4 linked regions of the Elephas maximus indicus genome follow. The protein of the gene in region 4 interacts with the protein of the main gene of each other region in a pairwise test. Links are inferred from orthologs where the notes say so. Each region holds a gene or a part of one and is shown on either strand. Other genes may lie near its edges.

What was found.
Region 1: the proteins of EFS (region 4) and TSSK1B interact in binary tests that used the Homo sapiens proteins (3 or more experiments, as listed by UniProt). The two-hybrid records come from large-scale screens. The link is inferred for Elephas maximus indicus from reciprocal best matches to the Homo sapiens genes EFS and TSSK1B.
Region 2: the proteins of EFS (region 4) and OSTF1 interact in binary tests that used the Homo sapiens proteins (3 or more experiments, as listed by UniProt). The two-hybrid records come from large-scale screens. The link is inferred for Elephas maximus indicus from reciprocal best matches to the Homo sapiens genes EFS and OSTF1.
Region 3: the proteins of EFS (region 4) and SORBS2 interact in binary tests that used the Homo sapiens proteins (3 or more experiments, as listed by UniProt). The two-hybrid records come from large-scale screens. The link is inferred for Elephas maximus indicus from reciprocal best matches to the Homo sapiens genes EFS and SORBS2.

The regions. Positions count from the first base shown.
Region 1 is NC_064840.1:34,810,136-34,818,165, forward strand, and holds TSSK1B (testis-specific serine/threonine-protein kinase 1), read right to left. Parts: upstream 3,542-8,030; 5' UTR 1,850-3,541; coding exon 749-1,849; 3' UTR 555-748; downstream 1-554. Other genes in the region: DGCR2 (integral membrane protein DGCR2/IDD), read left to right, coding at 4,730-4,808. UniProt on the Homo sapiens protein: Testis-specific serine/threonine-protein kinase required during spermatid development. Phosphorylates 'Ser-288' of TSKS. Involved in the late stages of spermatogenesis, during the reconstruction of the cytoplasm.
Region 2 is NC_064827.1:91,299,715-91,307,922, reverse strand, and holds the start of OSTF1 (osteoclast-stimulating factor 1), read right to left. Parts: upstream 3,335-8,208; 5' UTR 3,124-3,334; coding exon 3,090-3,123; intron 1-3,089.
Region 3 is NC_064840.1:80,608,442-80,616,280, reverse strand, and holds the start of SORBS2 (sorbin and SH3 domain-containing protein 2), read right to left. Parts: upstream 3,677-7,839; 5' UTR 3,621-3,676; intron 1-3,620. UniProt on the Homo sapiens protein: Adapter protein that plays a role in the assembling of signaling complexes, being a link between ABL kinases and actin cytoskeleton. Can form complex with ABL1 and CBL, thus promoting ubiquitination and degradation of ABL1.
Region 4 is NC_064828.1:34,695,361-34,703,214, forward strand, and holds the start of EFS (embryonal Fyn-associated substrate), read right to left. Parts: upstream 3,340-7,854; 5' UTR 3,112-3,339; coding exon 3,094-3,111; intron 1-3,093. UniProt on the Homo sapiens protein: Docking protein which plays a central coordinating role for tyrosine-kinase-based signaling related to cell adhesion. May serve as an activator of SRC and a downstream effector. Interacts with the SH3 domain of FYN and with CRK, SRC, and YES.

The sequences.
Region 1 (8,030 bases), on a different chromosome or scaffold from region 4:
TAGTCAGGGCCACATAGTGACTGAGGGACACATCTCGCAGCAGCATCCCTCCTTCTGGGCTGGTGGGATGGCATGGTGACAGATCAGAAAACATGAGCTGCCTGGCAGGTTGGAGGACTAAAAAGGGGCCGAGGGGCTGGAGCAGCTACCCTCAGCAATGTCTCCTCCCCCATTGGCAGCCTTGTGGGGCTGCCCAGACCGTTAGCCACAACTGCAAGCAGAGCCAGCACTCTCAACTTGAGAGGTCCCTGGCATAGGAAGCCACTTCCTGGGGATCCACCATCCAGTCCCTTCCTGCCCAGTACTACACTCTTCACTCGGGGCCTCTCTCTGGAAGCATCATCTTCTTCTCAGCTCTCTGCTCTGGGAGTTGCTCCTCCAGACCTCCCGCCCCCACCTGACTTGTGCAGCCTGGGCCTGAGATCACAGTCTGGGCTGGACACATTGGCATGTATTTTCCCAAACCTAGAGTAGGAAGCCAGGGACAGCCCAGGCTCCTCTCCCTGGGCGACCGCATTTAGCTGAGTAAAGACATTCACCTACGGATCAGCACTAATATAGTCTGTAATTTATTGCTTCTTTAGCCATGTGGGTTATGGAATGCAGACGAAGGGAGGAAAAGCTAATGAAAATAGTGGCTCATCAGGGACTGTGCTCATTTTCTGGCTTGTCCCTTGGTTTCTTCTGAGCTCGGACTGGACGCCGTGAGCTCTGCTTCTTTCCCTGCTGGCGCCCTGGGCCGAGAGGCTTACTGGCTGTGCGTCTCTGAAGGCTGCTGTGGGGGCTGGGGAGCCCCCTCCTCAGGCTCACTGGCCACACGCTCACCATTGAAGCCCAGGGTCTCCGACTGCCTTGACACTTCCACTGACTCTTCCTCAGGACTTGTTTTGGGCCCAGCCTCTTCCCGTGGCTCCAGCTTGGTGGGAGACTTTTTGTCAGAAATGGGATCAGGGGTCCATGGGGACTCGGTGCTCCGGGAACTCTCCCCCTCCTTATTGATGGCCGCGGAGGACAGGCCCCGTGCCTTGGGCTGCACCCAGCAATGGCTGAGGATCTCGTCGATGTGCAGCCTCCGGTTGACGTCTGGCTGAAGCATTCGGTAGATGAGGTCCTTGCACTCACCTGTCAGGTGCTTGGAGCGGGGGAAGTTGACACGGTGCTCCTTCTGGATGCGCAGCATCTTCTTAATGTTGGAGTCGTCGTAGGGCATGGAGCCGCAGACCATGATGTAGAGGATCACGCCCAGGCTCCAGATGTCATACACCTTGGGCTGGTAGGGGATGCCCTGTAGCACCTCGGGGGCTGCATATGCCGCGGACCCACAGAAGGTCTTGCTCAACGTGAGTCGGCCACTGTCGTCCCGCAGGCAGCGTTTGGAGAAGCCAAAGTCAGACAGCTTGATGTTGAAGTCCTTGTCTAGGAGAAGGTTCTCGCACTTGAGGTCTCGGTGGACAACATCCAGGTCATGGCAGTATTTGATGGCTGAGGAGAGCTGGCGGAACTTCTTGCGCGCATCATCCTCGTGCAGGGCTCCCCGGGTTTTGATGAACTCAAGGAGGTCGCCCTGGACCCCGAGCTCCATGATGATGTAGACCTTGCCATCAGAAGTCTCGAAGATCTCGTAGGTCTTGACAATGGAGCGGTGGTTTAGCATGGCCAGAATCTCAATTTCCCGGGGAAGGAATTTCTCCAAGAAGTCTGTGGGGGCTTTCTTGCGGTCGATGATCTTGACCGCCACATTGAACTTCAGGCGCTCGGAGAAAGCAGACTTGACTTTTGCATATGAGCCCTCTCCCAAATTTATCCCCATGATATAGCCTCGTCGTTTGAGGACGGCGGCGTCATCCATGGTGCCGGGAGCGCCCAGTGCCTCTGGGGCTGCCCTCTACATCCCTGCGGGACATGGGCCAGCAGTATCCTCATTTACACTGTGGACAGAGAGTCCTCTGGGCTGGCCCAGCCCTGTCTCTGCCTCCTAGAGGCCAAGTCTGGGTTGGAACTTTCAGCATTGTCTCCCAGGTGACTTCAGTGGGTGAAGTCACAAAGGAGGAGTGCCCTGGGGGAATGAGGCTCTGGCCTGTGCTGCTTGGCCTTGGAAACCTAGAAGGCCGGGCAGTGTGCTGGAGTGGACCAAAAGCCTGCAGAGAGTGGTCTCATGCCAGCCTGGGATTGGAGGTAGGGGCTATGGGGATTCATGGGTGTGCCCATGCTTCCCTGGCCCAGAGCCAGGACTGCTTGTGAACCGATGGGGTGATGATTGCAAATTGGGGCATTCCAGGAATCCCAGGGCTGTATCAGTCATGGTCCCAGCAGGAAATTGAAGACATATTCAGATTAAGATCATCTGAGGAGGCTTAATAATGGGACTATTTACAAAGGTGGGGGCAGAGTGCAGTACCCTGAGGCTAGTAATGACCCCTGGCCCACATGGAAGGAGGGAGGGAATGATCACTGGAACCTGGGCTACCTGGAAAGAGGCAGTGATCTTCAGTAGAGGGAGGGAAAAAGCCAGCCTGCAGTGTCCCCAGAGGAAGAAAGGGGGGGACAAAGGGGGAGCAGTTCCTTGACCTCTTTTGCCTCCACCTTCCTGCTGGGGATCCCACGTGGCCGGCCCACACAGGCAGCCTCCCAGCAGGGTATAGAGTGTGGAGGTGAATCAGGAGGCCCAGCAGTAGCTGCTGCTGTAGGAAGAAGCCAGGATTGCTCTCTCCCTGAACTTTGTGGCTGGACTTTCCACCTTCCTGTGCTGCTTGTTCCTCATCTGAAGCTCTGTGGGCCTGCTTCTCTGGCAGTGGCTCTGTGGGGGACAACTGATGGGAACTTCTGCTCCTGGCTTTTGAGGCCCCTTGCAGGCCCTGCCCAGCCCATTTCCTTGGCTGGGCTCCTAGAGCAGGCCGGGTCAGAAGGCTGGGACTGGATCCTGCTCTGGGTGCCAGCAGCTGCTCCTGGGTATGTACTTTGAAGGTACAAACAACAAGGGCAGCACTGGGCAGGGGACATTGTTTCCTTGGGCAGTGGGGCCCCTCTGCTGGGATAGGTCCTTTGTCCACCGCATGCTCCAGGCCTCACGTGGTGTTCGACTGTGGCCTTACCCACCCAGGTTGAATGGGCACCCCTCTCTCAGCTGCCCCCAGCTGTGTAAGGGGCATGGGAGGGCTGCTTCTGGGCAGTGGGGTGGAAGTCTGCCGGGCTGGGGCGTGCCAGGTCCCCACCAACCTTGGCCCTTCCCCCTTTCTCAGCAACCCTTCTTCCCCAGCACTGACACCCTCTGGCAGGCCTTTCACACATGGCTGGTGGTCTTGCTGAGGACACCCCCATCTGCAGCTGCCCTTCCACATTCACCTTGTTACTGATGACAGGTGTGAGACCTGCACTAGGAGCACTGTTTCCAGAGCCATTCAGCTGTCATCCCTGTCCCAGCAGCTGCTCAAGACATGGGGCTTTCCTCCATGCAGATTTGGTTTGTGGTAGCAGGACCCTTTCTCCAGAGGCCAGCTTTGCACTAGTGTCTTTAGGATCTGGTAACTTTTCTTGTTTTGATTCAATTCTTTTAGGCTATTTCCTCATCTGTTTGCAACATTTTGAGTTGTGTGTGGCTGTGAAGCCGCACTTGCCTGTCAGGGTTTACCCTCCTCACCCAACCCTCAACCTCCTTAAAGATAGCCCAGGCCCTCCAGCTTGCCTCCTCCCTCTGTAGCGGTTTGGACTTAGAACGACCACTCTAGGGCATACCCAAGGAGCCCTGGTGGCGCAGTGGTTAAGTGCTCCCTTGCTAATAAAAGTCTGTTAGAGCTGTTCCACGGGAGAATGATGCAGTCTGCTTGCATATAGATTACAGCTTTGGAAACTCTATGGGGCAGTTCAACTCTGTTCTTTAGGGTCGCTATCAGAATCGACCTGATGGTAACGGATTTTTTGGTTTAGGGCGCACCCTTGGGCTGCTGACTGGACCTGCAGGTGTGCAAGGTGCGAAGATCTTCCCGTCCCAGGGTCCCTGTTCATCCACCGCCCTCGTGACTCCCTCCGCGTCCCGCCCCTTTCCCTTTACGCTCTGCCTGGTGGACACGCCCGCGGGCCACCGTGTCCTTTGCCCACAGGCCCCGCGGCCCCACCCCTCTGTGTCCCGCCCCTTTCTGTGCCCGTCATTGTGGTCCTGCTCTCGCTGCCCCTCCCCTGTGCCTTGGGACCGGAAGCTCTTGGGAGGCTCTGCTGCTCAGGTCCCGCCCCCGAGTCCCACCTGTCTGCTTCGCTAATAGTATGCTACTCTCCCTGTAGTCCTGCCCCTTCCGTTCGGGCACGCCCCTTAGTCCCCGCCCCCACCGTCTTTCCCTTAGGCCCCTCCTGCCGAGCCACTGCCGCTCAGGCTCCGCCCTCCACCCAGGCCCCGCCCCCTGAGCCAATGGTCCTCAAGCGGTTGGGAACGCGGTCCCCGCCCCGCCCCTGTGTCCATTGGCCCACGCCGGCGTCGCGGCGGGAGGCGAGGCGGGGCGGCGCAGCGCGGCGCCGAACAGGACGGCCGCCATCTTGTGTGGAGCCGGAGCCGGAGTCGGAGCCAGAGGCTAAGAACTAGTGTGCCCGCGAGCTGGCGGCCTAGCGCAGCCGCAGCCCAGCGGAGCCCTCTCACGCTGCCTTTCCGCGTCCGTCCCTGGCGCCCAGCCCCTCAGCCCGGCCCAGTCCGGCCTCCCCGCGGGGTCACGCGGCCGCCCCGGGGACAATGAACGGAGGATAAATGGTGCCCAAGGCAGACAGCGGTGCCTTCCTCCTGCTTTTCCTGCTCGTGCTCACCGTCACCGAGCCGCTGCGGCCAGGTGCGCGGCGCGGTGGGGGCGGTGTGGGGGGTGCGGCGGCGCGGCCAGGGTCTTCCCGGGATCTCCTTCCAACGGGAAGGGGCCGGCCGAGGCCTGGGTCTCGGGCAGCCACGCGCCCCACTCCCGGTACCGAGCTGTGAGTTTTACCTGGGTCCAGACGCCTTATACATCGTGGAAATTTGTTCTCGGGGGATGTTCCCTTCGGATCCACGTTTATTGAGAGCTGCGTGCTTTGAGATTGATGAAAGCGGGAATGATTTGCATGACTCGACTTTACTTCTGGGGCCTGGGAGTCCTTTAGACGAGGAGCTGCAACTCTTAAGCATTCCCTCCTTGCGGGTCCAGCGTCTGGTGTCAGGCTTGGGGGTGGGGGCGAGAGCGCAGCTCGTGGAGGCACCTGGTTTCATATGCTTCCGCCCGGCAGTGGCTTCATGCCGGCGTCTCAGTCCTAGGAACTCCTCGGCTATAAAGCGGTAGCTGTGTCCTTATTGTCACTCAGGTGTTGCGCTTGAGAAGTACTCGGCTCAGAGACGGGCCCAGAGGAAGTACTAGGAGTCCTTGAAGCATCCTGTGCAGGAAGCAAGCTTCTGGAGACTGCATTGCTGCTGTGTCGCCAGAGCGCGAACAGTGCCAGGCATTTAGGTGTGCTCAGTTTATGCCACGAATGATTAAATGTTTCTGGAACTTCTCTGGAGCTTGTGTTTTTATGAGTCTGTGGTGGAGAATCAGAAGGCTCCTGATAAATTTTCTCTCCTGTTCCTGATGTACCCCTCCTTCTTGAACTGTTCTAAGACAATCACACAAATCCCGCACATGCAGGACTAAGTGATCTAGGAGACACAGTGCTAGCTTGGGAACCACAATGCTTTAGAGGCCCTCAAAAACGTTTTAAGTCAGAAGGAAAAAACTAATTTTTGGTCGAACAAAATTTTTTGAATATATGTACTAACACATTCATCTTTATACCAAAAAGTATAGTTCTTACTATTTCCATGGAGGAAGGGGCCCTTGAAGGCATAAGTGTCCACCATCTTCTAGTGTGTAGAGCCGTGGGAGGGGGGGGAGGGGGAAGGGTTTTTGCCACTCCTGCACCTCTGGGCTTTTTGTCTTTGCCATTTGCATGGAATGCTCTGCCTCCTCCCCAGTGTCTACATGGTAGCCAAGGCCATGGGCCCATGCTCAACCCAGAGTCTTCAGTGATCCTTTTCTTGTTCCACTAGTAGAGCTGGTTGCTCACTGCTTTCTGGGTGGCGAGATGACTGGTTGTGAGTGTGTCTTGGGGGGAACGGAAGCCAGGACAGAGGCACCTGTGGAGGGAGGTTACGATATGGGCTGTGTGGGTTCTTGTGATTAATTGCTCACTGCATGTATAAACCTGTGGAGAAGTGAAGGTCGTCATGTCTTGGGTCCCAGTAATCAGGCCCCAGGTTGGCAGATTGGGTCACTGGGCTTGAGAGGTAAAGGTACCTGTCTTTTTTGGGGTCCACTGATTCCAGGTCTAGCATCTCTTGCCTGACTGGTACTGGTGACCAATGTCCCAGGCTGCTTTTGCCTTACCATTCTGTCCACAGAATTGTCAGCCAGCCAGCAGCAATTTAGAAGGTATCTGTTAGTGCTCGCTGCATGCCCAGCGTTAGGAATACTCAAACGATGGAGAAGAGAAAACAACTGCTCCATATAGGAGTACCTGGTGTGGAAGCGGAAACCTGTGGCATAGTGGTTAAGAGCTATGGCTGCTAACCAAAAAGTCAGCAGTGTAAATCCACCAGGCGCTCCGTGGAAACCCTGTGGAGCGGTTCTACTCTGTTCTATGGGGTCGCTATGAGTCAGAATCAACTGGACTGCAACAGGTTTGGTTTCTGGTTGGGTGTGGAAGCAGAGACCAGGTGTAAATCAACATTTTCACTACTGTGTGGTAAGCCCCACTAGTATGGGAGCTCTGAGGCCGGTCAAGCAGGGACCAGCCATTTGTACTTGGGGAAGCAGACTTCCTGGGAGACCTCACACTTAGGTCTGAGTTGGGGGGAGTAGTTCTGGTGGGGGAGCGTAGTAACCCTTTAATTCCATGTCCCTCCAAATCAGAACTTTGCAGGAGCCCCTGGGGGTATCTTGAATGGCCCTGGAAAACCCTGGCTCCAGTTGGCAATGAGGGTGGGTCTCCCTCTGGTCAGATGTTTCTCTTGTGTGCTGTGTGTGTCCCTTCACATGCTTACCCTGTGTCCTTCCTCAGAGTGCCAGGCAGGGTCCGCCGTGCTGGTGCTAGGGGGTGGAAATGCTTTTCTGGTCATAGCCTGGATTCTTTTTATCAGGGGTCTTGGCTTACAACCATACTTGAGTGTGAGTTGTGTTGACATTTTCACTATGTTAAGTCTAAGTCTTCCAATCCATGAGCATGGAATGTTCTTCTGTCGCTTTTAGTTTCTTGCAGTGGTATTTTATAGTTTTCGTTGTGTAGATCCCTTACATTCCTGGTTATGTTTATTCCTAGGTATTTTATCATTTCAGGGTTATTGTAAATGGTATTTTTTTCTTGATTTTGGAGTTTCTTGCTAGCGTAAGAGAACTCGGCTTATTTTTGTGTTGATCTTGTACCCTGCTACTTTGCTGAATTCTATTACGTCCAGTTGCTTTCTTGTGGAATCTCTGGAATCATGTTGTCTGTAAATACAAATAAAATAAATTAATAAAAATGTATTTTAACCATTTGAATACTGCCTGTGCACTTGAGTGCACACAAAATGTGCACTCAGAAATCTGATTTTGCTATGGCTGTTGTTTCTCTTGAGGTCAGCTGGCCTTCTCGTCCAAATACCACATCATGCCTCTGATTAAAATGTGGTATGAGCGTTGGATGAAACTGCTGGTAGATATTACATCACATGCGGTATAGCTGTTACTCTACTTCTGCCCCACCCTCTTTTGCCCTGGTCTTATTCCCCTCACCATAAAATATAGACTGCTTGCAGGTTGCTGTGCTTTTCTTTTCTTTTCTATTGTGCTTTCATTGAAAGTTTACAAATGAAGTCAGTCTCTGATACAAAAATTTATATACACTTTGCTGTATACTCCTAATTGCTCTCCCCCTAATAAGACAGCATACTCCTTCCCATCACTGTCTCTTTTCATGTCCACTTGGCTAGCTTCTGATCCAGTCTGCCCTCTCATCTCCCCTCCAGATAGGAGATGCCAACATAGTCTCACGTGTCTACTTCATCCAAGAAG
Region 2 (8,208 bases), on a different chromosome or scaffold from region 4:
TACTTTCTCCTCACCAACTCTAAAATACATATGACCACTTACGTGAATGGTACAAAATGACATACGGCAGAACGGCACAATGGTTAAGAGCTCAGATTCTGGAGCTGGACAACCTGGGTTCTAATTCTGCTCTCCCTCTACTCCTCACCAGCTGCTGACCTTGGATAAGTTACTTAACCTTCCTGTGCCTTGCCTTCATTTCTCCATGGTGTACACTGTTAAGGTGCTTGGCTGCTAACTGAAAGGTCGGAGGTTTGAGACTACCCAGAGACACCTCAGAAGAAAGTCTGGGGATCTGCTTCCAAAAAATCAGCCACTGAAAACCCTACTGGAGCACAGTTCTACTCTGACACACATGGGGTCACTATGAGTTGGAGCTGAAGCAAGAGCAACTAGAAAAAAAAAGGCAACAAATAATGGACCAACACCACAGAGTTGTTTTGAAATGGCAGCGATAATGGTATCAACCTCGAAGGGTTGTTTTGAGGAGTAAACGAGTGAATGTAGGTTAAAGTGGTTAGACTCATTCCTGGCATACAATAAGTGTGGGCCATTACCGTAACAGGACAGTTCTGCTTTCAATTAATTATTAAGCCAGCCCACACAAAGATTCATGTCTGATTGAGAATACTAGTTCTCACTGTAAAGTAGTAAAGTGACAAACTCATTTCTACAGTGGTGACCTTACTGGCATTCGAACCTCATTTATAAATTCGCATGGAGTCAAAGTTCTCTATCAAACAAGTCTCATTCACCCAGTTGCTTTCTGATTTACAGAGTAGGAGAAAGCACTGGGGTCAGAAAACAAGGATGATTCTTGGGAGTGTGTATCCCTAGTTGGATAAGGGATGATCCCTAAACCATACCTGTGCGTGCATGTTTGTGTACACGCACATCACTGTCACTGTCTCTCCAGATGCAGCACCAAAAAAAAAAAAAAAAAGTTGCCATCGCATTGACCCCAACTCATGGCAACCCCACGTGTGTCAGAGTAAGAACTGTGCTTCATAGGATTTTCACGGCTGATTTTTTGGAAGTAGATCACGAGGACTTCCCTCTAAGGCACCTGAGTCTACCTGAACCTTCAACCTTTTCGTTAGCAGTTGAGCAGCACTTTAGTTTGCACCAGCCAGCTACTCAGATGCAGAACCTCCCCCCACCCCCAAAAAATGGCCGAGTCAATTCCAACTCACAGAGACCCTACAGGACAGAGCAGAACTGCCCCACAGGATTTCCTAGAAGTGGCTGGTGGATTTGGTTAGCAGCCAAACGCTTAACCACTGTGCCCGCAGATGCAACACAGACATCACTTAAAATGTCTGGAGATAAAAAGAACCTCATAAACAGCTATTCACGACATTCTCTAAAATACTTTGTTTAGCTATCATTTAAAAAACTCTGCTTCGTTGGATACTTGAGGTCCTGATTTACATCTGAATTTAGAAAGCTGCCACAGCATGCATTAAAAAAAAAAAGCAACAACAACAAAAAAATCATTGCCATCCAGTCGATTCTGACTCACAGCAACTTTATAGGAGTAGAACTGCCCCCATCAGAGTTTCCAAGGAGTAGCTGGTGGATTTGAACTACCATCCTTTTGGTTAGCAGCCAAACACTTAACCACTTTGCCACCAGGGCCTCACCTCATGCATATGTACTTAAAATGCAAATTCCTCATCAGTTTCCACATCTAATAGAGTCTAACTCCAGTCACACCCTCTGTTCACCCACACCCCAAGGCCTGGGCGGCTTCCTTCACACCCAACCCACCAAAACTTTCGTCTTCAATAAATGACTGTTCCACCCATGCGAACCAAAAAAAAACAAACCCATTGCCATTGAGTGTATTCCGACTCATAGTGACTCTATAGGACAGAGCAGAACTACCCCATAGGGTTTCCAAGGAGCGCCTGGTGGATTCAAACTGCCGACCTTTTTTGATTAGCAGCCGTAGTTCTTAACTACTGTGCCACCAGAGCGAGTAGGTACAAAATCTTCAATTATAAAGACTTAATACCCCCACTGCAGAGAAACAAAACTGGATAACCATAGAAAAGTTAAAAAAAAAAAAATTCTTAATCCTTGAAACTCTACCTTTGGCAATGAAAGTTACTTCAAAATTTGATGTAAGTTTCAGCCTTTTCTATAATGAAGTTACATGAGATTGGAAGAAAATCCTGGGATTACATTGGAGCCTTTTACCTTGCATTTCCTACATTTTCCGTAATTATCTACCCGAATGAATGTACATAGGACCTCATTTCTGTTACAGTATGGAATTGAAACACCTCAGACTCTTTTTAATTTCTCTTATTTCTCCAGATCACCGAAAATATTCTAGGAACAGAGTCAAAAATTACCAAGGACTATTGGCCAAGATTCATATGGTTTTTGGTTTATCGGTCTCGAAAGCTGCTCTGGGAAATTCAGCAATCTCATCCGCTGCAAATTCATCGCATGGAACTACGACGATAAACTATTCCTTCCGAATACTAACAGCCGAGATTATTCTGCCGCAGCCTAGATTCTTCCTGCCATAAGCACCAGTACAGAGCTTGCTAAAATGCTTCCTAAGATCCCGAAGTCAATTTCATACGCGGCTCCTCTCAAAAGTCCCGAAGGAGCCCCGCTCGCCCACCCCACCCTGCTAGCAGCGCACTTCCCGTTCGCTCTGGCCGGTCAAGAACTCTAACTTGACAGTGACACATATTGAAAAAAGAGGAAGTGGCTAAAAGGCCATTTCAAGAAATATTTAATTTTTTTTTATAAAATGGGATCGATGGCTCTTTCTGCCCGGAAAGCTTCAATGGGACGTAACCACCATACACGCTGTAAAGTTACAGCGAATGACAATGTTGCAAAAAAGGCGACTCCTTTTTAGAAAATAAAAATAAAACCCTCGAAATCCTTCTGCTATCAAAAATGATCTATCCCTTATAGCAAACGCAACAAAGCTAGCAATTACCACCCTGGTGGGTCCGATCCCGAAAGCGACGCTCGGGGCCGGGGACGTGCCAGGTCTGCCCTGCCAAGTGGCAGAGGAAACGCGGGCGAGGAGACAGCCAGGACTCGGCAACCACCTTCCTTACCTGGTTTGACTGGTTTGGGTGGAGGCTTCGACATCTCGCTTCCTGGACTGGCAAATCCTAAAGACCACGCACAAAAAGCCAACCAAACTTCCCGTCCGCCGACACTCCAGGGAACCCGAAGTTTCTTTTTGTCTGGTTTGCAGTCCTGCGCCTTCAAGGACCTGCGCCCACTCTTGGTAACAGGAGGCGCGGACGCAGAGCGGCTCCGCCGTGCCCTTCCCCGCCCCGCGGTCGCCAGAGCAGTCCCGAGCGCGCGGCCCGGACGACGAGGAAGTGGCCGCCGCCTCGCCGCGCGCTAATTGGCTCCCGGGCTGGCAGCCCCGCCGCGGTAGGCGCACAGGCGGCGCGCACGGCGGCGCGCGCCGCAGCGGAACCAGCGGAGTCCAACAAGGGCGCCGCAGGCACGGCTAGGATGGCCCCCGCGCGCGCGCCGCTCACGGAAGAAGGCCGGACCCGCGCGAGGTCGCGCGCGCCAGGACACGCTCGCCGAGGCCCCGCCCCGCCCCAACGGGAGGCTGGACCTTGGAGGAGCGTCCGGGCTTAGTAGGAAGGATCCACCCCGTGCCGACGTTTACCTGGGCACCTCCAACCTGGGAGTGGGCTCGGGGAGAGGGGTTGTGGGCCTCTCGGTTAGCGAGCTGTGGGTAGCGGCGGGTTAGTTAGTATCAAGCGCACATTTGGTAATCGCCTCCGCCGCTTAGCTTGGGAGGATTCGAACTGGCGCCAGGTGAGTACCTGCGTGACCCTGCCGCGTCGCGCCCCCTTGCTGTGGCTTGGAGGTATTTCCAGAATGTCCCTGCGCCGGAGTTCAGGACAACATTGGGTTTTGCAGACCCTCTTGGGACTCTTACTACCTTAAACGGCCTAATAAATATCCTGTCCAGGAGAACGTTTACTCATGACGGCGTAGCGCTTTAAGGTCACATAGTAATCTTTAAAATAGGAGTACTGCAGCCAAGATACCGCACTGGTAGTTGGGAGACGTCACTAGGGACGTGTCAGACGGGAGCAGAGTCTCATGCCTCTTAGGACTGAAGTTGACCAACTAATGCCCGCGAGCTAGGAATGGTTTTTACATTTTTCAATGGTTGAAAAGAAATTTTTAAAAAAGATTATTTTGTGACACGTGAAAATTAGATGAAATTCAAATTCTTTTGTCCCTAAAGTTGTATTGGAGCACATCCACACACTTTTGCTTATTTATCTTCTGTGGCTGCCTCCACGTTATAAAGGTAGCGTTCAGTGGCAGCCCTCAAAGCTGAAAATATTTACTATCTGGCCCTTGATAGAAAAAGTTTGCAGAGCAGTTTGAATTTCCCAGCAGATTGAATTTCCAGTGGAGGAAGGGCTGGATCGTATAAGGAAGGCAGTTTGCGTATTTCCGAAATAGCACAGTCAAATACTATAAGCCCGTTGTACATTCGGTGAAAGAAAAATTGAAAGTAACTGTTTACATCAGAGCCTACATAAAAAGAAGCTCCAATATTTCTGGTATTTAAAAAAAAAAACCCAACCCTACTGCCTGCCGTCCAGTCGATTCAGACTATAGCGATCCTATGAAAAAAAACACCGTTGCTGTCGAGTCAATTCCGACTCATAGCCATCCTATAAGACAGTAGAACTGCCCGGTAGGGTTTTCAAGGCTGTAAGTCTTTTCTAAAGCAGACTGCCACGTCTTTCCCCCAGAGCCTTAGTGCCTTTCACTTAGCACCCTAGAGCTTTAATCACTGTGCCACCGCCCCCGGGACTCCTCTGCATTTCTGGTAGTGGCTGGTAAAAGATACGGAGATTCCATGGCGGCAGCCCCGGGCAATTTCCATGTTTACTAAAAGGGAGCAAAGTTTAAAGAATAGTAGGAAAACTGCTGTCCTATCTCATGGAAGAAGATAATCAGAATATCTGTCTTAGTTATCTAGTGCTGCTGTAACAGAAATACCATAAGTGGACGGCTTTAACAAAGGGAAACATTCTCTCACAGCCTAGGCAGCTAGAAGTCCAAATTCAGGGTGCCAGCTCCAGGGGAAGGCTATCTCTCTCTCTCAGCTCTGGGGGAAGGTCCTTGTTAACAGTCTTCCCCTTGTCTAAGAACTTATTAAGCACAGGGACACCAGGTCCAAAGGACACGCTCCCCTCCTGGTTCTTTCTTGGTGGTAGGAGGTCCCCATCTTCTCTTCTAGATTGTCTCTTTTGTATCTCAAAAGAGATTGGACTCAAGATACAACCTGATTTTATAGACTGAGTCCTGCCTTATTAACATACCTGCGTCTAATCCTGCCTCAGTAACATCACAAAGGTAGGATTTGCAACACAGAAAAATCATCAGGTGACAAAATGGTGGGAAATCACACAATAGTGGGATCATGGCCTAGCCAAGTTGACACACATTTTGGGGGAAACACAATTCAATCTGTAACACTGTTGGATAAAATAAATGTATAAAGAGTCCTGAAAACATTTCACTCTTGTTTTTTTAAATGCAGACAGCTCTTTGAAGTCATTTGAAAATTACAACATTTTGCCCCCACATTGTCTTCCGTCCTTCATACTTAGGGAGCTTCTGTCATTTTTGCAGCCAGCTGATTCTGGACATGCCAATCTGACCATTCTGTACTTTAGAATCCAAAATGCACCACGTTGTTAGTGAAATGAATTAAACAGAATAAACACATACCCTTTATGAGAAAGTGGTGTTAGGTGCAGTGGTAAAATTCTTGCCATTTGTGCAGGAGACCTGAGTTGGATTCCTGGCCATTGCTCCTCACTTGGAGCCACCACTTGTCTGTCAGTGGGGACCTGTGTGTTGCTATGATGCTGAACAGGTTTCCATGGAGCTTCCAGGCTAAGATGGACTAGGGAAAAGGCCTGGCAATCTACTTCTGAAAATTCAGTGAAAACCCTGTGGATCACAATGGTTCAATCCCCAACTGAACGTGCATACCTTTCTTTCCTTTGTGCATGGAGTGACCAGGAGTTGGCGGCACATTCGATGGCAGCTTACAATCATGAAAAACAGACTCGATAGCACATTTTACTTAGGATTTTTTTTTAAAGTAATGAAACTATTCATTTTGAGTTTCTTTTTAACTGCCCCGTGCAAACATTCATCTATGAGTTGGAATCAACTCCCTGGCAATGGGTTTGGTTTTGGGTTTTGACACAAATGTTCTCTTCTGCTGAGGAAAGCTTTGCATGTATTGGAAGAATAAACTACATAAACATTCGGCAGAATTGAAGTTGGCACATACTCCTAGTGAAAGGCTACCCTGTATTGATGAGGCTGGAAAGTTCAGATGCTTTTCTCCCTGAGGATATCAGATGATTTACAGTTTGTAGTTGATATCGAGTTGATAAAATTGGTATCTGCTACTGCTATCATTTGGGGCCTCAAAACTCTTTTTACTTTTTTTTTTAACAGCTTCCACATTTACCATTTAGTGACATTGATTGCATTCTTCCAGTCGTGCAACCATTCTCACCGCCTTTTCTGACTTGTACCTCCCCAATTGACATAAATTCACTGCTCCCTAAGGTTCCTATGTAAACTTTCTGTTGTCAGTTTGATCCCATACAGATAATTCTTAAAAGAGCATAGTGTTCACAGTAGACATTTTTTACTACTTGAGCTAAACTATTGTTTGGTTTTAAGAAGACTTTAGGGGATATTTTTGGTTTAAGGTTTGAAGATTATTTGAGGGCAAGAGTTTCAGGGTTCATCGAACCTTCATGGCTCTGCAAAGTCTAGAGTCCATGGGAATTTGAAGTTCTGTTCTGCATTTTCCACCTTTTCATCAGCGTTCTGCCGTAGAATCTTTGATCAAAATGTTCAGTAATGGTAGCTGGGCACCATCCATTTCTTCAGTTATTATGGCAAAAGAAGCAGTTGTTCATGGAGGCAATTAGCCACACATTCCGTATCCTCCTGTTCCTGACTCTCCTCCTTCCTCTGTTGCTCCAGGTAAGTAGAGACCAGTTGTGTCTTGAATGGCTCCTTGCAAGCTTTTAAGACTCCAGGCACTATGCCATGAAGTAGGAGGAAGAACAGAAGCACTAAACATGTTGTTATGTCAATTAACTGGAATGTCCCATGAAACCATGACCCTAAACCTCCAAACCAAGGAACCAAATCCCCGAGGTGTTTGGTTGTACATAAGCAGCCTCAGCAGCTACTCTTTTTTTTTTGGGGGGGGGGGGGAGCGCTTCTTGTAAGTCTATCTATCACACAATTTTTGCCAATTCAACTTTTTACAGGTTGTCTTAGTCATCTAGTGCTGTTATAACATAAATATCTCAGTTGGATGGCTTTAACAAAGAGAAATTTATTCTCTCTCAGTCTGGTAGGCCAGAAGTTCGAATTCAGGGTACCAGCTCCAGAGGAAGGCTTTCTTTCTCTGTCAGCTCTGGAAGAAGGGCCTTGTCATCAATCTTCCCTAGGTCTAGGAGTTTCTCCACACAGGAAGCCCAGGCCCAAAAGACACGCTCTGCTCCCGCCGCAGCATTCTTGGTGGTATGAGGCCCCCAAGTCTCTCTGCTCACTTCCCTCTTTTGTATCTCAAAAGAGATTGACTTAAAACAAAACCTAATCATACAGATTTAGTCCTGCCTCATTAACATAACTGCCTTTAGTCCTGTTTCATTAACATCACAGAGGTAGGATTTGCAACACATAGGAAAATCACATCAGATGACAGAATGGTGGACAATCACACAATACTGGGAATCATAGCGTAGCCAAGTTGACACATTTTGGGGGACACAGTTCAATTCATAACACAGGTATACAACTTACTGACAGCAATGACAATAATCAGCTGTGCAACCCCACCCTTAATCAATGAGATATTTCCATCACTGTTAAGACCCCCTTTCCCCCTTCCTCCCACTCCTGGTAACCACTAATAAACTTGGGTCTCTATACATTTGCCTTTTCATATAAGTGAGGTCGTACAATATTTGTCCTTTCGTGATTTCTTTATTTTACTCAGCATAATGTCTTCCAGCTCCATCCATATTGTAGTGTATCAAGACTTTATTTCTCCTACTGTCTGGGTAGTATTCCATTGTATGTATGTACCACATTTTGTTGATCCATTCATCTGTTGATGGGCATATAGGTTGTTTC
Region 3 (7,839 bases), on a different chromosome or scaffold from region 4:
TTTACTGCAGTAACTCCCTATAAGTTTTCCTGAAAATAATTTACTTATTTGCTGAAAAAATGGCCTGTGAGGCTAGCGAATTTACCACCAGGGTTTCCTGCAAATCAATATACCAAAAACGGAATCGACTTGATGGCACTGGGTTTGGTTTTGGTTTTTGGTATATTGATTTGCAGGAAACCCTGGTGGTGTAGTGGTTAAGAGCTATGGCTGCTAACCAACAGGTCTGCAGTTCAAATCCTCCAGGCGCTCCTTGGAAACTCTACGGGGCAGTTCTACTCTGTCCTATAGGGTTGCTATGAGTCGGAATCGACTCAACAGCAGTGGGTTTTAGTGGGTATTGATTTGCATATTGACTTTCATTTCAGTGTTTCTAGAATATTTTTCCATAACATTACATATTCTTTGAAAATGTAAATTCGCTAGCCTCACAGGCCATTTTTTCAGTAAATAAGTAAATTCCGATCCCTATAGGACAGAGTAGAACGGCCCCCGTAGAGTTTCCAAGGAGCGCCTGGGGGATTGAACTGCCCACCCTTTGGCTAGGGGCTGTAGCTTAACCACTACACCAGCAAATCAATATAAAAAAAATATAGACAGTGCAAATTCAATTTTGTCTTTTTATAAAGTAAACATGAATTTAAAAGAATAAATGAGAGAAACCTCCCTAAATGTTCATCTTATCATCTGGGGGATAGGCTGAATAATTTTTTAAAAATTCTTTTCTTCATTGTAGTCTATATTATCAAAGCATTTTTCTTTGGTGCAGCTTGGTGGGGTAGAGCACTGGCCTGGGAGCCTGGGGCCTCCACTGTCCTGGATCTGTTCCCCACCCTCCCAGTGCCACTGAAGCCCCTCAGAAAACATCAGCCCCTTTTTTTCTTTTGTGAAATCTGCCTTCTCTTATTCCCAGGGCACTGTTAGGACAATTGAGACAACTTTTAGCACTTAGGAATCTTTAGAGCAAAGGGGCAGAGCATGCATTCAATGAACTGTGATAGAAAGCTCGTGACTCATCGTTTCCGTGGCTGACAAGGCGTCCTTGAGCGAGTCAGTCTCCGTTAGCTCTTCCCAGAAAGGGCCGGCAGAGCTTCCTCCTGGAACTGCCGCAGCCTCTGGGAGGAGGCCCAGGGTGCAGTGGTGAAGTTTGTATCAGGCGCATCAGAGCCAGAATACCTGGATGGTGCAGCCCAGGGCCCTGCCCCTGCGGTCACAAGCTCAGACCCTTGGGAGGGGGCGCTGGGCACCTAGCCTGCCATCTGACAACAGGTGAGCAAGTACCAGCCCTCATGAAGCCTGGAGTAGGCATGTCCTGGCCTAGCTGTGTGTCTGTGTTCTATCCAAACCCCATTGTTACTGACACAATGATAAAGTTATATCTTAAAAAAAATCAGTATCCCTTGAGTATTTTTCACAAGGAGACCTCCAAACAGGGTGGTTTTCTTCTGCTAGAGAACAAATGGCTCTTGCCACTCCTTTTTCTATAGGTTTTCCTCAAGGTCAAGCACCCACGCCCTTTTAATGGCTTTTGTTTTTTTAAGCTCAGCCCTGGTGGTTAACTTAAATCCTTTCCTTGGTGAATGATACACAGAGCTTAGCTCAATACACAGTTTCCTCTTGACAGATTCAAATACAGACACTGATAATACTGCCCACCTAGGATGTAAGGTGGGCAGGGTTCCCTGGTAGCCCAGTGGTTATGAGCTATGGCTGCTAACCAAAAGGCCGGCAGTGTGAATCCACCAGGCGCTCCCTGGAAACCTTATGGGGCAGTTCTGCTCTGTCCTGTAGGGTTGCTATGAGTCGGAATTGACTCAACGGCAAAGGGTTTGGTTTTTTGGTTTGGGACTTGAAGAGCTGGATCCTAGAACATTCCTCCAAACGGAAAACAACTCAGATACTTAATGCAAATGAGGAATTTCAACTAACGTTGAGATGTAGCATAATGCAAATAACCCCCTCACAAATCACCCTCTTGTATCTACTTATCAAAATATTTATAAAATGTCTTTGCACTGTCATACCGAACTAAGCCTTTTGGTATTTATTTTTTCCGTAGGATTCTTTTCGTCCTTATACAAAGTCTGATGCAATGACTAAGCACTGGCTTTTAGAAAGTAGACTGTCCCTTTTTTTGTTCTCACTAGGTATCCACTGGAAACCCTGGTGGTGCAGTGGTTAAGCGCTACATCTGCTAACCAAAGGGGTCGGCAGTTTGAATCCGCCAGGCGCTCCTTGGAAACTCTATGGGGCAATTCTACTCTGTCCTATAGGGTCCGTATGAGTTGGAATTGACTTGACAGCACTGGGTTTGGGGTTAGGTATCCATTCAAATCAATGTGCGGATGGAGGACTGAGAGTACCGCACAGCTGGTGGTGAATGACACCAAAGAAGAATTTAATAACAGGCCACAATGAAGAAAACAAAAAAACAATTTAGCCCTATGGCAGATAATGAATTTTATCAATTCTGACCTCTTTTCTTGAAAAATATGTACATTTAAAACCTGATTTACAACTGAGGAAGTCAAAATTGTCTTTTTAAAAGTAATGTATTGGTAGAAAATGAAGTTCAGTGGAGACTGATGCTCATATAAATTGTTTGCATGGTAATATCAAAGAGAAAAATAAATAACAGACATCTCACTTTGATTTTAATGTTTTTCTTTTTACCCACAAAAACTAAATTTTCAGCTGCCAGCCCAGAGACCACCTAGTAACCTGGTATCAGTAGGTCTCAGTAAAGGGGGAGGAAGGGCAGCGTTTGATCTATCAGGTAAAGATTAGCCAGTAGGAGACCTTCCCTTCTTCTCCCTCCTCTTCTCTTTATCAGCTCACTGTAACGAGCCTACTTTGAAACATTGGTTTTTCTTTTTGGAGGGGTGTAGAGAGCTGGTAGCAGGGCTGGGCGTGGTGACGTGAGCATTTCCTGTCCCTTCGTGAAGCCGCAATGAGCAAGAGGCATCAGCCCTAACAGGTAGAGGCTCGTGGGAAATGGCTGTTACTGAGGAGTACCAAAAAGAAGGCTTCTCAGGGAAAGGGTGTAAGGTTAGTTTCCTTACAATGCTCCCGATGACCCCAGGATAAATATTTCACTGAAATAAGCCCTCTCCCCAATCACATGGTTAAGAGCTAACCAAAAGGCCGGCAGTTTGAATCCATCAGGCCGCTCCTTGGAAGCCATACGGGGCAGTTCTACTCTACTCTGTCCTATAGGGTCGCTATAAGTCGGAATCGACTCGATGGCAAGGAGTTTGTTGTTGTTGTTGTTTTAACACTGTCCTATAGGGTTGCTATGAGTTGGAATAGACTTGATGGCAGTGGGTTTTTTTTTTTTTTTTTTGCTTTCCTGGTTCCCGTTGGCTTCCTATAACTCCTTCAAATGTATCAGCTTAAACTGAGTGCTTCTGTGCAGAGTCTCGAGCCACAGACTCTGCTGGAAACTTAAGAGAAGAACATGTCAAGGCGAGGTCAGAGGACCCTCACATTGTTTGGTGCCCACCATTTTATTTTCTTAACTTGACTGAGAAATCTTTCTGATATAACGCAGACATAGATTTCCTCCTGGCCTTGTCAGCCCCAGGCCCAGACAGACACAGTTCCCCAGGAGTACAGCATACCTGCTGAAGAAATGCACCCAGATCAGAACGGTATAGGAGTCTGTCCTATTCTGGCTCTAGAAAAGAAATATTATAATAAGTAGGTGGGCGGGATCTGCCCTGAGTCACAAAACAGCCAAAATAGCATCGAGACCAAACGGAGGAAGACATAACTATATCACTGTATACCTTTTTCTTTACAAACTTTGGTACCTATTTTTCAGAAAAAAAAAATCCTGAAAAGGAAACTCTGCAAAATCCCTGTCATTATTTTTAGTTTGTTACGTACCACAATCGGTCGCCATTTAGTAGTTACGTTGTTGATGTGTGCCATCCTGTCTATTCTGATTCATGGTGGCCCTAATGCCGGAGTAGAACTGCCTCATAAAGATTAGAGCCTGGGAAGCCCGGTGGGCAGTTCTGCTCTGTCACAGGGGTTGCTGAGTCAAAATCAGCTCGACGGCACACAATAACAACACAACAACATTTATGGGAGCAGATCACCAGGTCTGTCTCCTGTGGAGCCACTGGGGGGTTCGAACCTCCAACATTTTGGTTAGCTTAACCATTGTGCCACCAGGGTTCCTTAGTAATGTCTGGAAGAGGGTAAATCTAGGCTGGGTCACCCAGGTTGGTCTCAGGTGGGCATGAAGCAGGCAGGACGGCTTTGATAGCCCCTGATTCGTTTTGTTGATTCATTTTCTCTTTCTTTGCCCCTTATCTAATACAATGTTTTTCTAACAAAGCTTCATGTGTGACCACTGACCAGCATTTTAATTAAATAGAAACATGGAGTAGAGCAAAAAGCATAGTTTAATATTCTCTGTGACCGCCATTCCCATTCCCGCTCTGCTTTTCTGGTCCTTTCCATATCTGTGTGGTGTGGGATTGGAGAGGAGGGGAGTATAAAAGGCAAGAGGGACGCACCTCCCATTTCCTGCCTTATAAGGTCAGTTCTCCCCAGGTGGCCTCGGCCCCACCCCCACCAATTGTTCTGGTGCCTTCTCTCCCCCAAAGCCAGTTCTTTGTGCAACGTGGCCGGACTCATGTCCCTCTTGTCAAACAATCACTTGACCAACCAAAAAACCAAACCTGATGCTGTCGAGTCAATTTCAACTCAGAGTGACCCTGTGAGACAGAGCTGAACTGCCCCACAGGGTTTCCAAGGTGGATTCGAACTACTGACCTTTTGGTTAGCAGACACGGCTCTTAACCACTGTACCACCAGGGCTCTAGTCCTTATATCAGCTCTTGATAATCTTTTCTTTCTCTGCAATTCACATTTCCATTGACAAGACTCTTTGCTAATTGAAGAGCACCTTTCGGAGACCTCTCACTGCTGCTTGTAGGGTGCAGCAGTGTATCTGGCCATTTATGGCTTTAAAATGTGCCAGCAGGAGAAGCTGAACACATGTTCCCCTCAGGTGAACTATGAGGCACCTAAGGCAAGTCATTTGTATTTTCTAAACCCAGGACTGACTCCAGGGATAGGAATTTCAGATCAGGAAGGAAGTGAGGGGCATGGGTGGGGACACGTCAGGGGTCCTCACACCCCTTCAGGAGACGCTGCCTAATCAAGGCCTTGGGAAGGAGGGCCCAGGCTTTATGTGAGACACAGTGCCTGTTCCTGGAGATAAGCCTCAAGCCTCCAACAGCAATAAACACCCCATTGTGACATCCCAGGAGATTTGCTTCAAAGAAATCACAGTGAGCTATTTTTTCCCTCCTGGGCAGAATACAATTTTTTCAGATATCTGCAAATCTGGGGAGAAAGCTTCCACTCCTAAATGGAACGATTCTGATGACAAGGGGAAAAGAGGCAAATTGCACACACACCCCAGACAGACCCCTTCCCAAGCCTCTGCCAGTCCTCACTCTGCACACCCACAGCAGACAGACCCCTCCCCAAGGCCCTGCTAGTCTTCACTCTGCACACACACCCCAGACAGACCCCTCCCCAAGGCCCTGCTAGTCTTCACTCTGCATACCCACACCAGGCAGACCCCTCCCCAAGGCCCTGCTAGTCTTCACTCTGCATACCCACGCCAGGCAGACCCCTCCCCAAGCCCCTGCTAGTCTTCACTCTGTATACCCACACCAGACAGACCCCTCCCCAAGGCCCTGCTAGTCTTCACTCTGCACACACACCCCAGACAGACCCCTCCCCAAGCCTCTGCCAATCTTCACTCTGCACACACACACCAGGCAGACCCCTCCCCAAGCCCCTGCCAATCTTCACTCTGCACACACACACCAGGCAGACCCCTCCCCAAGCCCCTGCCAATCTTCACTCTGCACACACACACCAGGCAGACCCCTCCCCAAGCCCCTGCCAATCTTCACTCTGCACACACACACCAGGCAGACCCCTCCCCAAGCCATTTCTAGTCTTCATTCTGTACTCACACACCAGGCAGACCTCCCCCCAAGCCCCTCCATGTCTTCATTCTACACACCCACACCAGGCAGACCCCTTCCCTAAGACCCTCCTAGTCCTCATTCTGATTGAACTACCTGGTTATGAATAATATCAGACGATTATCTCACAGAAAAAAATGTATTCTGCTTCTATGCTAAAATTTAGTTAAACTATCATCCCTGGATTATATCATTAAAATATTTGACTCTGTGTGTGTGTTTGTCCCTTAGTCTATGATGGACCAAAATAACTGTTTTACCTACTCACTCAAACTCAAACGAAACCAACAGCTATCCAGTGGATTCCGACTCATAGAGACCCTACAGGACAGAGTAGAACGGCCCGATATGGTTTCCAAGGCTGTAAATCTTTATGGAAACAGACTGCCACCTCTCTCTCCCGAGGAGTGCTGGTGGGTTCAGATAACTAAAACTCTGTGTGTGTACCTCAATGGAGTTCAGCTTACTTGACAGTCTTAATGAACAAATATCCACGGAAAAGTTTAAAATATGATTTTTTATACAATCTCAATGTTCCTGAGTTCCCAGCAATACAATTATAGTATTTACTGAAGTCAATACTTGCATGCTTACTACATGGCAGGCTCTTTCTAAAACCCATACATGTCCTAACTCAGGTCATCTTCCCAATAGCACACAGGTGGGTCCTGTTATTTCTCCCCATTTTACAGGTGTGAAAACAGCATGGACAGGTGCAAAGTCACACAGGTCCAAGGGTAGGACCGCGTCCCACACACAGGCAACCTGGCTTAGCATCCATGTGTGGGTGCGCTCTGCTGTGGTGGCATTGGAAGTGACCTGCTGTAAAAGGCCCAAATAGCTTGCCTCATCATCATTTATTGAGTGCTCGGGCACTGTGTCAATGAGAAAGCAATCTCAACAAACTTCGTAGTTTTGTCATCCTGAAAAATGACTAGCCTTCATGTGGTTATTGTAGCTCAACTGTGAGCTTGTACTGAATTTAAATAAAAAATACACTCTACACCAAAGGCAATCAGGATTAAAACAAGTAGCAAATCCATTGTTTCATTTAAGAGTCTTCCTTGGTCTGTGAGTGATCATGACTGAATGGGTGTTCTGGAGGCACTGAGGACCTGGAGACAGTGGGAGGGGAGGGTAAGTTTTACGGTTGAAGCCATTGATGTTTAACGATCAAGACGTTGGCTCCTGTTTTTATGCTAACGGTTGGATGGAGCCAATGCTTGATGAGGCACTGTGCCAGGCAGGTGCTACGGTGACATCCAGCCCAGGTAGCCTTGTTCTATATCGTCAGGTCACTTCTGTTTTTATGTTAACGGTCGGACAAAACGCTTTTCCCAGATGGAGTCAAGGCTTGATCACTGTGCAAGGCAGGTGCTATGGTGACACCCAGCCCAGGTGGCCTTCTTCTGCACCCAGTTAGGTCAGTTCTCCAGTTGTTTCTCTCCTGCCACACCATCCAGGAGCCTTCTTCAGCCCAGGGCCACACTGATATGCCCCTCCTCCAACCCCCCCAGGGCACTCTTAGGCCAAACTCAGGGCTCCCTCATTCCTGCCCACTAAACCAAAAAGCCAAACCTGTTGCCCTCAAGTTGGTTCGGACTCATAGTGACCCTATAGGACAGAGTAGAACTGCCCTATAGGGTTTCCAAGGAGCAGTTGGCAGATTTGAGCTACTGGCCTTTTGGTTAGCAGCTGAGCTTTTAAACACTGCACCACCAGGGCTCTGTGTCTGCTCCCAGCTGAGAAAAAAAGAGTTGTAATCCATACAACGGCTCACCCTTGGTAGTGACTTGCAAAATGAAGACCTGATAGTCCATAC
Region 4 (7,854 bases):
CCAAGCTGAAGACCTCAAACAGGCTGCATTTGACCATCAGGCCCTGGGGAGGTTGCCCTGTTCCTTCGGCATGAGTGCATGTGCCTTCTGGTGGGTGTTTCCCTCTGTGGAGAGGTTGTCCAGCCCTTCACGGCTGGTTGACTTTAACAACAAACTAACTTCTCCTCTTGCCTGACTCCAAACTCATCAAACCATTTTTTCATTATATTTTGGCTTCTAAAGGATATTGTTCCACAGAATGGAAACATGCAAACCAGATGACATAGATTTCTGGCTAGCTCAGCATGTTTCTTTCTAAATGTAAATTATAAACTGGTGTTTTAGATCTAGCCAGGGGGTTAAGAGTATGATTCCAGAGGCAGGCAGACCTGGGTTTGAGTCCTAGCTCTGTCCCTTTCTAGCTGGGTGACTTTGAGCAGGCTGTTTAGGCTTTCTGAGCCTCAGTTTCCTCCTGTGTAAAACTCGGATAATAATACTACTATCCCCATAGGGTTTTTGTGAGGTTGTGGGTGAGATAATGCATCAAAAACCCATGAGAGGTTTGGGGACCATGGTTTCTTGGGAGATCTAGGTCAATTGGCATAATAAAATCTATTAAGAAAACATTCTGCATCCCATTTTGGAGAGTGGTGTCTGGGGTCTTAAACGCTAGCAAGCAGCCATCTAAGATGCATCAGTTGGTCTCAATCCACATGGAGCAAAGGAGAATGAAGGACACCAAAGACATAAGGTAAGCATGAGCCCAAGAGAAAGGATGGGTCACATAAATCAGAGACTACATCAGCCTAAGACCAGAAGAACTAGATGGTGCCTGGCTACAACCAAGGACTGCAATGACAGGGAACACAACAGAGAATCCCTAAAGGTGCAGAAGAGCAGTGGGATGCAGACCTCAAATTCTCGTAAAAAGACCAGACTTAATAGTCTGACTGAGACTAGAAGGACCCTGGAGGTCATGGTCCCGAGACCTTCTGTTAGCCCTAGACAGGAACCATTCCCAAAGCCAACTCTTCAGACAGGGATTGGACTGGACTATAAGGAAGAAAATGATACTAGTGAGGAGTGAGCTTCTTGGATCAAGTAGACACATGAGACTATGTGGGCAGCTCCTGTCTGGAGGGGAGATATGAAGGCAGAGGGGGACAGGAGCTGGCTGAATGGACACAGAAATACTGGGTGGAGAGAAGGTGTGTGCTGTCTCATTAGGGGGAGCGCAACTAGGAGTATATAAAAACCAAAAACCCAAACCGAGTGCTGTTGAGGAGATTCCTACTCATAGCAACCCTATAGGACAGAGTAGAACTGCCCTATAGAGTTTCCAAGGAGCACCTGGCGGATTCGAACTGCCGACCTTTTGGTTAGCAGCCGTAGCACTTAACCACTACTCCCCCAGGGTTTCCAGGAGTATATATATAAAAAAATATATAGCAAGGTGTATATAAGGTTTTGTATCAGAAACTGACTTGATTTGTAAACTTTCACTTAAAGCACAATAAAAAAAAAAATGACTTAAGGACACTGAAGGGTTAGATTTCTTAGTCTAGCTGTCAAAAATATTGTTTTTTTTCAAGTTCTTTTGAATAACATATGATTTGGCACACATTTTAACAATTAAACTGTGGACTTCACATTAAATGAAAAAAAAAAAAACCCACGAGAAAGCTTAGCATAGTGCCAGGTGTAGTAAATGCTCAATAAATATTAGCTGTTATTAGGATTCTGAGAGTCTGATTAGTGTAAGTCATTTCCCTGGACCTCCTCACTTCTGAGTAAAAGAAAAAAATCTACCTCCTGGGACTAAAAGCTGACCAGCTGGCTCCTAAGCCAGCATCTTTACGTCACAGTGCCCCTACTATTTTACGACCTCCCCCTCTCTGGCTCTGAGCTAAGGTCTTCTCACCATCACATAGACTGAGAAACTAAAAGGAGTTTGGTCTGAGATGGTGCCAAACTCAAACCCAGCAGGCCCCCTCCAGGGGTATGGGAAGATGATGGATGTCTCTCCGTTTCTCTTTCCAGTTTCACAATCCTCCTTCCCAGAGTTCCCAAGCAGAGGGGGGCCAGAACACTGGTGGCAGCCTCACTTTCCCTGGGAATCACTTGGATTCAGGCTACAGAGGGCATAAGACAGAAAGCAGAGGTGGGGCTGTGAAGTACTCCTTCCTGTTAGGTTTGAATTCTGTCCAATGGGGCCAAACAACCCAGGCTTGCAATTACAGGAAACTAGAGAAAGACCTGGCAATCTGCTTCTTACAGCCAAGAAAACCCTATGGGGCAGTTCTACTCTGTCACATGGGGTAGCTAAGAGTCAAAATTGACTTGATGGCACCTAACGACAGCAACAACAACAACGATGGGCAGAGTTGTTATAGACGGATTGATGATGGGTGTGGCCCACCCCTGCTCTACCCCCTTCTCAAGGGCCCAGCCGACTTGTGAGGGAATGGCTGGCTTAATGGGGGTGGCCGTGGACCACTTGTTCTTTGGGAGGCCGCCTCCCACTGTCCCATCCAGCCAGCTGTCTCCTCCCTTTGTCCCTAGTCCCCGGAAAGTGGCCTGAGGCTGGCTGACATCACCTCCCCTCCTCCCTCTATTTTCTCTTTCTCTTGCCAGAGCGTCCTTCTTTGCTCCATTTCCCCCGTTTCCTCCGTCCCTCCTCTAGAGATGGGCCTCTAAGAGTCCTTTGGCCTCTCCCATTTTCCCTGAACTACATCCTTTCAGCCCCCTCCCAACCTTTTACTAGCCTCCCAATCACAAGCCCCTGCCGACCACAAGTGGCCACCTGTTCCCGCCCAGGAAAGCAGATAGGTTTCTGGTTACACTTGCCCCCTCCCCTTGCTCCAAGAGCAGCCTCCAGAAAGAATAGAGGAGAATGGGGAGGGGGAGGGGAGGAGGGGCAACTCAGAACCCGTAGGAGCGCAGGGGATAAGTGAGAAGGAAAGGGGAACAAAAGTGAGAGGAGGGGAGACAGCCTTCTGGCGAAGAAAGGGACCCAGGAGAGAGACAAAGAGAGGAAGAAATAAAAGTGACAGGACCGCATGGCAGGCTGTGGAGGTCGCTGTTCGGCAGCCTCCTCTCACTGATGGGACTCACCGACGTGGCTATGGCCATGGGCTCGGCCTCTGGCGTGGCCTGCTCCAGGCCAGGCTCGGTTTCGCTGACTTCAGCAGCGGTTGACCCGCACCATGGTCCACTGCCTCCAGGCGAGGAGGCGCCCCCCGGCTGCGGCGCCTGAGCCGTGGCCTCCGCCGAAGTTGGAGGAGGAGAAAGAAAATCCACAAAACTCTCCAAATGGGAGGCAGCCTGGCCAGGCAGGAGGAGGAGCGAGGCGGGTCGGGGCGTCGCTGCGGGACCTTATCCAAAGGCGCGCGCTATGTACTGTCCCGGGGGCCACCAGGCTGGCAAGGCCCCCGGGGCTGCCTGCCCTAGGCCGCGGAGGCTTACCGGACCCTCATGGGCCTAAAGCTCCCTTTTAGGGCCCGGACCGGCGAGAAGGCGGGAGCTGGGGCTGTACTCGACGCCTCTCCAGGCCTCTCTGAGCGGCCCCAAGGGCTGGGAGAGGCCGCCGGGGCGGTTGAGCTGGACGAGTGAGTTTAGGGATCAACCCTTCCCACCCGGGGGGCGCGCAGAAGAGTGGGACTCCCAGACCACTGCTCGGGGCACCGGAGGACACTGCGGCGGCACCCGCTGGGAGAGCAGGAGAGCGAGAACTGAGACTTTTGTCCCTCTTCAAACTCGCCCAAGTTAGCGTGGGGAGGCCGGGCTGCCACCAAAGGCCTCCGAGAGCGTGGCCGTTGGGCTGGGTTGCTGGAGTGGCTGCTTTCTGCCCAGACGCTCGCACCACAGGCAATGCGGCGGGCTTACGCTCGCACGCTCGCTGTAAGCAAGCTGGGGAGCCTGGGGGCGCCGCGACGGTGCTTCGCCCCCGGCTGTCGCCTGGCAGCAGCCCGCACGCAGGCACAACCCGTAGAGGCGGGGCGGCCTGAACAACTCCTGCTGGCGGCCAGGCAGAGAGGGGCCCGCCGCCCTCCTCCAACCCTCGGCCTTGGCGCGCAGGGCCGCGCACGACCGCTCGCACCCTCTGCCCCCTGGCACCCGAAGCGGGCCCCGCAGCCCACGCTCGCACGCACCCTAGGCAGGGCCCCTCGGCACCTCCCAGGTGTCTCTGGGAACGAAGGGAAAGACCACAAAGCAAAAGAAGAAGCAAAAGGAAGGCGAAAGAGAGCAGTGGCTAAGGTCCTGTGGACTCGCCTGGGGGGTGTTGGGGAGGGACCCTTAGAGGGTCCCCCCCGAAGCAGGAGGGCTGGGAGGCTCCGGGGGTCGCGCGTGGCCCCCAGGCTCACCCCCCGCTCTCGGCTACCCTCCCTTTCCCGGGCTCCTGGCTCCCTCTCAGTGCAGTTTCTTCCTCCTCCCCTCCGGCCCGCTCCGACGCGCGGCTCAGTCCTGGGGATTAAGAAAAAGAGGGAGGGGAAAAGGGAGGGGGCGGAGGAGAAAGGAGGACGATCCCTCCAAAGGCGGGTGTTGAGTTTCAGCTCCGGACCCTCGGGCCAAACGGCACTCCCCCTCCCGGCCCCTTTGCTCCGCGCCTCCGTCTTCCCGACTACGCGGCGGATCTCCCGGTGGTCTGGTCAGCTCCCCGCTGGGAGCTTTCCTCTCCCTGCCACGCCCCCGCCCTCCTCCGCCAGCCCCGCGCCTCTCTCTGCCTTCCTTTCATTAGCCCCACATCTGTCTTTCCCCTGGGAGGGAGCGTGCTCCTTCCGCCTTACTGGGGTCCCCTGCAGAGCCTCTCCCCTCCCTTGGATGACAGGGTTATCCAGGCTGTTCCTGAGGGGAACAGGCTGGAGTCTGGGGCTGGGCATGGATTCTGGCACTGGCAGGAGAACGTGAAGCCTGAGCTCCTGGCCCCAGAGCTGCAGAAGGGCCGGTTGGGTAGCCTATCACACTTTGCCAGTCTGGGCCTGTCCCCCGCCCTCAACCCTTCTGGTTCCGTGCTGCCTGGGAGAAGCAGGAGTGGTGACAACGGGCACAGAAGGGCAAAAACTCTTTTAGAAGGACTAGGATCTGTACCCCAAGGAGTTTCAGCTGAAATGACAGGGCTCTTTTAATCCCCCACACCTCTCTGCCCTTCCTATTGTTACTCCTTAGATTTCCTGTTTCTTTCCAGCCACTTCTTTCTCCTGGTTCTCCCTCCTGGGCACACACCAGAGGCTTGAGGGAACCCTACCTACTTCCATTTCTGAGTTTCCTGGTCCTTAAAAAAGGAGACACCAAACAGTGTTGAAAGCTGTGGTATATTTTTCAGTGTTTACATTTAACAAATTAACACTTCAAACACATAGACAATGGCTCTGTGTATAACCTCCTTAGGAGATAACATCCGAAGTCTAAATTTAAGGCCCTTTTGGAACCTGAGGACTTGGACTGTGCTCTCCTCGCCACATACGTACACATTCCGCAGATCCACATATCCAGGCATTTCCCAGGACACTGGGAGGATACCCGTGCCAGCTCTTTCACCACCCTATTGCCTGGGCACCTATGAGGATCCCTCTGCAGAGGCGAGGGATGGAGCCTATGAGGGTTAGGGAGAGATGCTGGGGTGAACGTGGGGATGAACCATATTGGCTCTGGGCTTGGCTCAGAGATGGGGTGCATCCTGAACAGACCCAGACTCCATTAGGTCAGTATGGGAACAGATACATCTGAAGGGAGAGTGCCTTCATCCCAGCTCCATCCTCATCTGAAGTGGCCACTAGGGAAGGTTCTCCAACCTCCAGACCTCAGCCCTGGAGAGCAGAGGAGGGGGTGGGGGCTGGCCACCTGGAGCATAGACATTCAGCTGTGGGGGGTGGGGGGTGGGGTAACTGGTATGGTCTCTGCCCAGGGGACTGTCAAAGCAAATTGGGGTCCAAGGTGGAGGTGGGCAGGAAACCCTGTGTTCAAAGAGGAATGCTGTAACTGACACCAAAGGAAATAGGTGGAGGCCAGAAAAGGCTAAGCAGGAAAGAAGCTGCTAGGGCCAGGGAAGACTGGTGGCTTGGGAGATGAGTAGTGGGGCTCACTGCGTGTAGCCCAGTGCCTGGGGAAATGTGGATGAGAGATATCAGAGTACAAACCAGGGAAATATGACTGTGTTCTGGAGTCCCCAAGCATGAATGGAGCCAGTCTGACTCCGGCGTGAATTCTGGTTTAGTAGCTGTGTGACCTTGGTCAAGTTACATAACATCTCTGAGTCTCAGCGTCTCATCTGAAACAGTGACTTTGGTGAGGAGGAAATATATGTAAAGTGCCTAGCACAACGATCTTCTTCCATGGCTTTTCCTCTTCACCTTTCCTCCCCCTTTAACTTGTGCTTTCATAAGCTCATGCCCTTTGTGAAGGCAGGAGGAGCCTTTTCTCTGTCCTTAGGCCTCATCTCTGGCCTCTCCTTTGCACAGAGGTTTAAGCTATTCTAACTTGTTTAGGGAGAGCTCTCAGCTCCAAGTAAGGTTGGAGAAAACTCAGGTTTAGTGGGCAGCTAAGACCTTGGGTGGGCTGCAATCTCAGGCAGCTTGGCCCTCAGTTTGAGAGTCTACCCTTGCTGTGTTCAGTGGGTAGAAAGAAAGGAACTCCATCCAGCTTTCAGGACTCCAGTCTTCTCTCCCAGTCTTTCTCCTCCCCAGCAGGGTCTGACCAGCTGTGTCTTCCTTGCTCTACCGCATGGCTTCTTGGACTTGTCCTTGTTCCTCTTGCTACCTAAGCCCTCTCAGATGCTCATTAATTCTTCCCTGGTCTCTCCAATCCCCTTCTCTTTGGGTCTCCACAGCACCAGATGGTGTGAGTTCTCATCCTAGTTCTAACAGGACCTATGTAACCTTGTCCAGTTACGTGACCTCTTGGAGGCTCTGGTTCCTTGTCGGTAAGATGGGGCTAATAATGGAACCAATAGCACTGGCTTGTGTTGAGGATTCAGAGTTAATCTTAAACCCTGAGAACAGTGCCTGGCCCATGATGCGTAAATGTAGGATAAAAGGAACGACTATTACTATTTGGTGCCAGCCATGTGGGTGTTACTTGGTGCCAGAATGTGAAGAATATGATGCCTGCCCTTGAGGACCTCACATCCCGTGGATCATACCTGAATCCAGTTAAAACCTTCCCGCTTGGAATAAAATCAAATGCTCCATCATAGCCTGTCAGACTCTGCATGATCTGGTCTCTGCCCTCTTCCACTGTCTTCATCTCATTCCCCTCTCCCCTTCATTCTTTGCTTTCCATCCACATGGTCCTTTCTGTTTCTCAAATATGCCACACTCTTTCCCACCTTTAGGACGCCGCATGCTCTGCTTCCTCTGCTAAGAAGATTCTTCCCCTAGGCTCTTTCCATCTTCATGTCAAAATCTTCATCCTCAGAAAGATCTTTCCTGGCCTACCGAGACGAGGTTGTGACCTCTCCCCTAACAGTAACTCCCTATCTTCTAATCGAGTTTCATTTTCTTCATAGCACTTACTGCTATCAGAAATTACCTTGTTGCCTGTTTATCATCTGTCTCCTCTTGAAACAGGGCAGCAATCTTATCTGGCTTGTCCTTGTCTGCATTCTTAGTATTTACAATTGTGCCTGGAATATACTAGGTGCTCAATAAATATTTGGTGAGTGGATGAATGTACAAAGGCAGCCATGACTATAGGACAAAGCTTGAGTAAGCCAAGGGCCCTCCTTGGGGAGGCACCAGCCTTGGGCTCAGGGGAGTTGCCAGGCTCTTTGTCCCATTCACTCTGATTCTTCTTCTGTTGTCTCCCAGGCCAAACTGGGTTCTCTAAGCCTAAACATCTTTGTAGCTAAAAGTTATATTAAAAATATTTAGCAATGAC